Arabidopsis thaliana: one gene and its partner. The protein of the gene in region 1 binds, or shares a complex with, the protein of each later gene. Each region holds a gene or a part of one and is shown on either strand. Other genes may lie near its edges. A codon is read from its position in the direction of its gene.

What was found.
Region 2: the proteins of EBS (region 1) and AT3G27360 are in contact, whole or in part, in a crystal structure (PDB 5Z8L), measured with the Arabidopsis thaliana proteins. Residues at the interface, in NP_001320030.1 of Arabidopsis thaliana: Arg40, Pro41, Ser42, Tyr49, Trp70, Tyr71, Tyr72, Glu76, His95, Phe96, Asp97, Gln99, His102, Thr103, Ile104, Glu105, Ala135, Ala136; in NP_189372.1 of Arabidopsis thaliana: Lys24 (codon at 1,257), Ala25 (codon at 1,254), Ala26 (codon at 1,251), Arg27 (codon at 1,248), Lys28 (codon at 1,245), Ser29 (codon at 1,242), Ala30 (codon at 1,239), Pro31 (codon at 1,236).

What each region holds. Positions count from the first base shown.
Region 1 is NC_003075.7:11,728,832-11,732,585, reverse strand, and holds the start of EBS (PHD finger family protein / bromo-adjacent homology (BAH) domain-containing protein), read left to right. Parts: upstream 1-2,076; 5' UTR 2,077-2,355; coding exon 2,356-2,452; intron 2,453-3,189; coding exon 3,190-3,532; intron 3,533-3,630; coding exon 3,631-3,699; intron 3,700-3,754. Other genes in the region: PUX3 (UBA/UBX domain protein), read left to right, coding at 1-129, 374-659, 746-841, 937-1,314. UniProt on the Arabidopsis thaliana protein: Chromatin remodeling factor that binds to methylated histone (e.g. H3K4me2/3) to prevent their acetylation (e.g. H3K9K14Ac), likely by recruiting histone deacetylase (HDAC) complexes, and thus regulating the transcription of target genes.
Region 2 is NC_003074.8:10,128,544-10,131,864, forward strand, and holds AT3G27360 (Histone superfamily protein), read right to left. Parts: upstream 1,395-3,321; 5' UTR 1,327-1,394; coding exon 916-1,326; 3' UTR 562-915; downstream 1-561. Other genes in the region: SDH2-1 (succinate dehydrogenase 2-1), read right to left, coding at 2,666-2,831. UniProt on the Arabidopsis thaliana protein: Core component of nucleosome. Nucleosomes wrap and compact DNA into chromatin, limiting DNA accessibility to the cellular machineries which require DNA as a template.

The sequences.
Region 1 (3,754 bases):
ACTATCGAAGCCAACAAGTGGTCGTACTGGTGGTATCCGTACACTTTCCGATCTGAACCGAAGATCAGAACCTGATTCCGATAGTGACTCCGATGGACCTCAAGAATACTTCACCGGTGGCGAAAAAAGGTTCGTACTTAAAAAACCCTTAAATCACTAGTTTTACTATGATCTGCTTAATTATGATGTGTTAACTAAAGTTTTTGATGATTCAACTATAATGGTCTTAGGCCAATTAAGTGTTTTAATCAAAATCATTACTTTTTGAGATTTGTGTAGTTTAGTGAGTAATTTATTAATCATCAATTATCTATTTGATGATTAGTATGGTTGGTAAATTGTTGGATCTTTGTTTTGTGTTTTATGTGTGAAGTGGTATGCTTGTTCAAGATCCTACAAAAGAACCAAAACACGATGATGTTGATGAGATATTTAATCAAGCAAGACAGCTAGGAGCTGTGGAAGGACCTCTTGAGCATCCTTCGAGTTCTAGAAGCTTTACAGGAACAGGAAGATTGCTTTCTGGAGAAAGTGTGCCAACGGCTCTTCAACAGCCTGAGCCTGTGATTCACAATATTATTTTCTGGTCTAATGGATTCACTGTAGATGATGGACCTTTGAGGAAGTTGGATGATCCAGAGAATGCTTCTTTTCTTGATGTGAGTGTGAATTTTATTTTGGTTAATGCTTATGAATTGGCTTATGAATATTGTGTTGAACTGTCTTGTATTTTCGTGTATTGCAGAGCATTCGAAAGTCTGAATGTCCGAAAGAGCTTGAGCCTGTTGATAAAAGAGCTCCTGTACATGTTAATCTTATGAGAAGAGATGAGAAGTGCCCTGTAAGTTCCTATTGGGATACACTAACTTGTGCTTGATCCATCTTATGACTATGGTACCAACACTTATAACATCTTTGTTTCTTCTTCTTTTGTAGGAGAAAGAAAAGCTTAAGGTTTCATTTCAAGGAGTTGGAAGGACTCTAGGTGGTGCAAGCTCATCAACAGCTTCAAGCCAAAGTAACCTAACTGATGTAGCAGCGGTTCAATCACCGTTACAGAGCCTTGTAGTAGATGAAACTCTTCCATCCACATCGATCCAGCTTAGACTCGCGGATGGGACACGCATGGTAGCAAAGTTCAACAACCATCACACGGTTAACGACATTCGTGGTTTCATTGAGTTTTCTCGACCAGGGAATCCAAACAACTATACCCTTCAGGTCATGGGGTTCCCACCAAAGCCACTTACTGACCCTTCTCAGACCATTGAACAAGCCGGTCTAGCAAGTTCTGTAGTCATTCAGAAATTCTAGAAAAGTTTCGTTTCTCTTTTTTTGTACTAGAGAGAGATTTCAACAACTTGGAATTGTACTGAAAATATTCAATCGGCTTATTGTTGTGGCAAGAGAAATAAAAACATCATATGGTTTCTATCTTGTTTCGTTTCAATGTGTTTACTTTCATACTTGTTACCTATATGAGAGTGAAAAGTTTGAGTTCTAACATTACTTCAAATTTCACATGAACAATTATTTGATTTTCTTTGTTTTATTAAAGTTCAATCTAAACAATTAGTGTATGACAGTTTGGTAATATCAAAATATCATTGAACTTTTGATTAAATATTCATGTTATTGCTGTGCCAAACTGGCTATTTTGGACGTACGTATATCCATGATTAATTTAGTTTCATTCACTAATGTTTTGATTAGTTTCATCAAATACCAAAACTAGTGATTATTGTATCAAACAATTAGTAATTTTCATTAGCCGAAAGATTAAACACGCGTGCTACCATTCTAGATTTAAATATAAACATTGATCTTGCCAGTAAATGGCTCAAATACATGATAACATAAATAAAAAAAAAACTTGAATAACCATGAAAATTATTGTACTGTTTCACCTATAAACTTTTACTTTTACTTGCTCAAAATATTCAATCAAAGTTCAAAACGACAGTAAAAATTTGAAATTCGAGCCACTTTTTTTTCCCATTTTACGGTAAATGTGGCAGGAAAAAGTAACAATATTTCCAAAATTGTTATAAGAGAAATAAAATAAAAGCAAAGGGCAAAAAAATGAATTGGGCTTTGTGAACAGTAAAACTCCCAAATTTGCAAATGACTCATCTTCTTCACCTGGAGAGAATCTAGGGTTCCAGATTTACTCTTCGTCTTCCTCTCTTCGCTTCTTCCCCACTGGGATTTTCCTTTTCTTCTCCTTTTTTCTCTACCCATCGATCTACACATCCTGATCTTCTTAGAAGCCCCAATCCTTATACATTCCGGGAACAAAAAACCTAGCTTTTTTTTTATTCCGGCTTAACCAGTTTTCGAAAAACCCTAGCTTCCATGGCGAAAACTCGACCTGGTGTCGCCTCCAAAATTAAGACGGGAAGGAAGGAGCTGGACTCTTATACCATCAAGGGCACCAACAAAGTTGTGAGAGGTAGTGCTTATATTATCATTTGTTATCGTCACTTGTCAAATTTAGACATTTCTCTGCATGATTTTGGGCATTTGAGTGTTGAGTAATGGTTTATAAAGGAAGGGATTGCTTGAAAGCTTGGTTATGGAGTCAATGTCTGCTTAGGTCTTTTAGATTCACTCTTGTTTTTGGTCTTTTTGTTCTGGTGTTGTGTAGCTAGCTGCTAAGGGTATGTCACTGCTCCGTAGGGTGTTCTAGTGTATGAAATGGCACAAAATGTGATATTTGGTAGCTCTCTTGTTGTTAGAACTGAGATTTCTTGCAGTGAATTGTTTTGATTTGGGCTTTTTAGTGTAAATTTCCTTGCTTTTTTGGTTTCTATAAATGAAGTTTGTGTTTGGCTGGTTGGTTAAATGTGAAACATGAATTCATTGTATCTCTATCATCTGCATTGTAGCTTGTTATGCTTGTTGACGCAAAATGTGTGCTTTCACATGTTAAGTGTCTGCGTATACCTAGAATTCTGGGTTTTTCCTTCTGGTGAATAGGTGCATAAGAGTTATGGTCTAGGCATTTTTCGTTGAAGGGAGTGATCTTTAAAAGCTTGAACACTGTTTTTTAAAATTTGCAACCCATACTTTTGTTCATTTAAAGCTTATACCTTTTTTAGATGTTAGAATTTTAGTGTTGGGCATTTATATCACTTTACTAATGTGCATGATAAGCTCTGAACTAATCTTTGAGGTTATTTTCTGCAGCGGGAGATTGTGTGTTGATGCGCCCATCAGATGCTGGTAAACCACCATATGTGGCCCGTGTTGAGAAGATTGAAGCTGATGCGAGGAACAATGTGAAGGTGCACTGTCGATGGTATTACCGCCCTGAGGAGTCACTTGGTGGTAGGAGACAATTTCATGGAGCCAAAGAGCTTTTCTTGTCTGACCATTTTGATGTTCAAAGTGCACACACCATTGAGGGAAAATGCATTGTTCACACCTTCAAAAACTACACGAGGCTTGAAAACGTTGGGGCAGAGGATTATTATTGTAGATTCGAGTACAAGGCTGCTACTGGCGCATTTACCCCTGATCGAGTTGCTGTGTAAGTAGATAAATAGTAATCAGATCAGAACTACGCCTTCTTATTACCTGGAATTTCCATGATTTTTTATCTGTTGTGGGTTGTTGTTGGTTCTGAAGGTACTGCAAATGTGAAATGCCTTACAATCCAGACGATCTCATGGTGCAGTGTGAAGGCTGCAAAGACTGGTAAATGTTGATATTTGTCTTTTTTATTAACTTCCTTACTTGTGTTTCAACAGAA
Region 2 (3,321 bases), on another chromosome or scaffold:
CCGTCGAATATTAAAGAAAGAATGAAAGAGAGAGAGAGATTTTTCGAATTTGGAAGTTAGCTTGAATGATATATAAGCCAAGAAGAGCTTTAATGGAGTCAAAACGTAACATCCAACAACAAGAGTAGTTTGTGGGTTAAGTCAATGAGTTGTTGTTATAGATAACGTGCAGGTCTTAAATAATTGAAGACTTCTTTATCTTTGCCATTACAGAAAAGAAAAAAAAAACAGAACATATATGAATTTAGAATTTGAGGTTACATTATTGTTTATACTTAGTACTCACAATTTAAAAAAACTTTGATTCAATTTCTTAAACCTTTTTTTTTTTTAATATCTGAAAGTTCAAATCTAAAAATCATATATCTTCTCTACATCAGGTTAAATTCAACTCTTTTGGAAAAGAGATACCTTCCACCTCGAACTCAGCACCTCCACCTAAAAAATTTACCACTGACCAACAGTACATTGGTAATTTCTTAAACTTATTGTGATGAATTAATCGATAAAATAACACATAATTCTCACCACTGAAAGAGGACTTTGATAACAGAGAGAAGATTATGCTGCAGGAAAATAAAATGATTAACCCTGCTTTGGTCAATAAATTAGAACCATTTTGACACAAGTCACTAAGACCTGAATACAGATGTAACAATATACAAATAAGTTACAACCAAAATGACAACTTCAATTGCAAATCTAATAAGTTAAACTGAAGACTGATTCTTAGAAAGTTGCAAAAGTAGATTAAATTTTCATTTGGGCATTTCATCGAACATCTGGAAGACACTTCAGAACAAAAGACTAAGAAAACTCAAAACCAAATCTAAAACATGAATCTACAAATCTTATGAGAGCAAACAAGCAAATCTACACTAGACCATTGTTTTTCTTCTTCATCTTCTTCAAATCTTAAGCCCTCTCACCTCTAATCCTCCTCGCAAGTTGAATATCCTTAGGCATAATCGTAACCCTCTTAGCATGAATAGCACAAAGATTAGTATCTTCAAACAATCCAACCAAATAAGCTTCAGCTGCTTCTTGAAGAGCTGCGACTGCACTACTCTGAAACCTAAGATCCGTCTTGAAATCTTGAGCTATCTCACGAACCAATCTCTGGAAAGGAAGCTTACGGATCAAAAGCTCTGTGCTTTTTTGATACTTTCTGATTTCACGTAACGCTACTGTTCCTGGACGGAATCTGTGTGGCTTCTTCACTCCTCCGGTGGCTGGAGCTGATTTCCTTGCTGCTTTCGTCGCCAGTTGCTTTCTAGGAGCTTTTCCTCCGGTGGATTTTCTAGCTGTTTGCTTTGTTCTAGCCATTTTGAGAATTCTTGACAATGAAAAATTTGAAGCTTTTGATTGTTGAGACTGTCGTGTTTGATTGGTATATACAGAGTGAGGTTGGGATGCTTTTTTATACTCAAAGAAGAGAGAATTTGGTCCGTTAGATGTGTTTTCCTCTAAACGGTCAAGATTGTTTTTATCTTTGCTATCTGCGTCGTATGTTAAGTAACCAATCAGAGTGATTCTTTCAGTTGTCGAGGATTCTACACGTGGGATATTTATGATGACGTGTTAATTATTGCGATGTGTAACGGTGTTTGTGATCCAAAGACTCTGAGTGAGACAGAAGTGTTTTCATCTTTGATATTACGATCTGTTCAATGAATTTATTCCATCAACAGATTGCGAAAATTTGTAGGCTTTTACAATACAAACTCTGATCTCTCTCTATTTGTGATATCTGTTTTTTTTACTTATAAAATATCACATAAGCTTCCTCTGTTTCACAAGTTTGACATCCTGAATTGTGTTTTAAATCTTCTACATTGTCTCTAGTCTTCAAACATACATGAACATAAGGAGTTCAAGGCTCAAATCGGGCAACACTGAACACAAACGGGAGGCTGTTTTTCTATGTTGCAGTCACAGCAAGCTGTTAGGCAATGGTTGTTGCAGCCTGCACGTGAAGAACAACAACAAAAAGCAATGGTACCTTCCACAGTTAAAAAACATTATCGTTGTTTTTACTTTCTAGAACTAGTATTCGAAGCTATGGTACCTTCCACAGTAACAAATAGAGACTTCTGATGCTCCCGCAAGCTCGGAAAGAACTCAAACTGTTGTTTAGTTGCTGGAGCAACATCGGTTGCTGTTCCAATAGTAACCAAAGAGACAAAGAATATAGCTAGTGTTGCCGGTGTCATCTTTCTTGTTTGTTGTGTGATCAGTACTTGCAGTTATACTTACGCAGTCAATCATAAATGTCAAGGAAGTTATGATTGATACTTTTCTATGATTAAGCTATGATTGATAATACATCACGTTGTGTTCATGTGTACAGAAGGCAGAGACACAAGTACATGAAATGATTTTATCATAGGCCAATGCAGAGGGAACACAAAAGAGTAGATGATAAGTAGATGAGGTTTAAGTTTACTCGAGTTTTATTACTTAAAGAGGAGATTTTCAGCAAGATACAACCACAAAGCTCATCTACTTGGGAAGACTTGCAAACGAGTTTTTTTAAGGCGCTAATATTTGGCAACAACAATACAAGAATGAATTGAAAATCCGAAGAGGTTTTGTGAAGATTATTAGCTTCAAACGTTAAGACTGATGAGTTTCCCAACGGATCCCGCACACAAACTTAGCTGTTTCAACGCTGAAGTTGCTTGATGTGAGTAATCTGTTTTCCTGGGTTCAAACCCTTTGGACAGGCACGAGCACAATTCAAGATTGTATGGCAACGGTAAAGCTTGAACTCGTCGTCAATAGCCTCAAGTCTTTCCTTAGTGTACTCATCACGACTGTCGCTTATCCACCTACACATACCAACAAGTCTCTTGTTACAAACACATCGAAAGGTCAAATTTCTATTGAATGCCCCATATATAGATCAGCTTCCTAAACCAAAACAACAATTCAGACAGTAATACAGTAGTGAAGAACCACATAAGTGAAATCAATGCAGCTAACAACAATATATGAGAATCTTCCCAACCATCCATGCAAATTCTGAAAGCAAATTCCAAGAGTGAAGGGTTCCTAGTTCTACAATTTGCAACCACTTTCCATCAAAATAGACTTGAATGAGAATCAATGCAGCTAAACAACAAGATATACAAAATCTTCCCAACCATCCATGCAAACTCCAAAATCAGACTACAAGATAAATCGTTTCCTAGTCCTACAATTGGAATTCAATTCCCCAAAAAGCCAACTTCTATATCCATTTTCAACATACCAATCCTTCAAACAATCTTTTTTTCACTTACCAAGACAGCAAAATAGACTTGAATAAACAACATATAT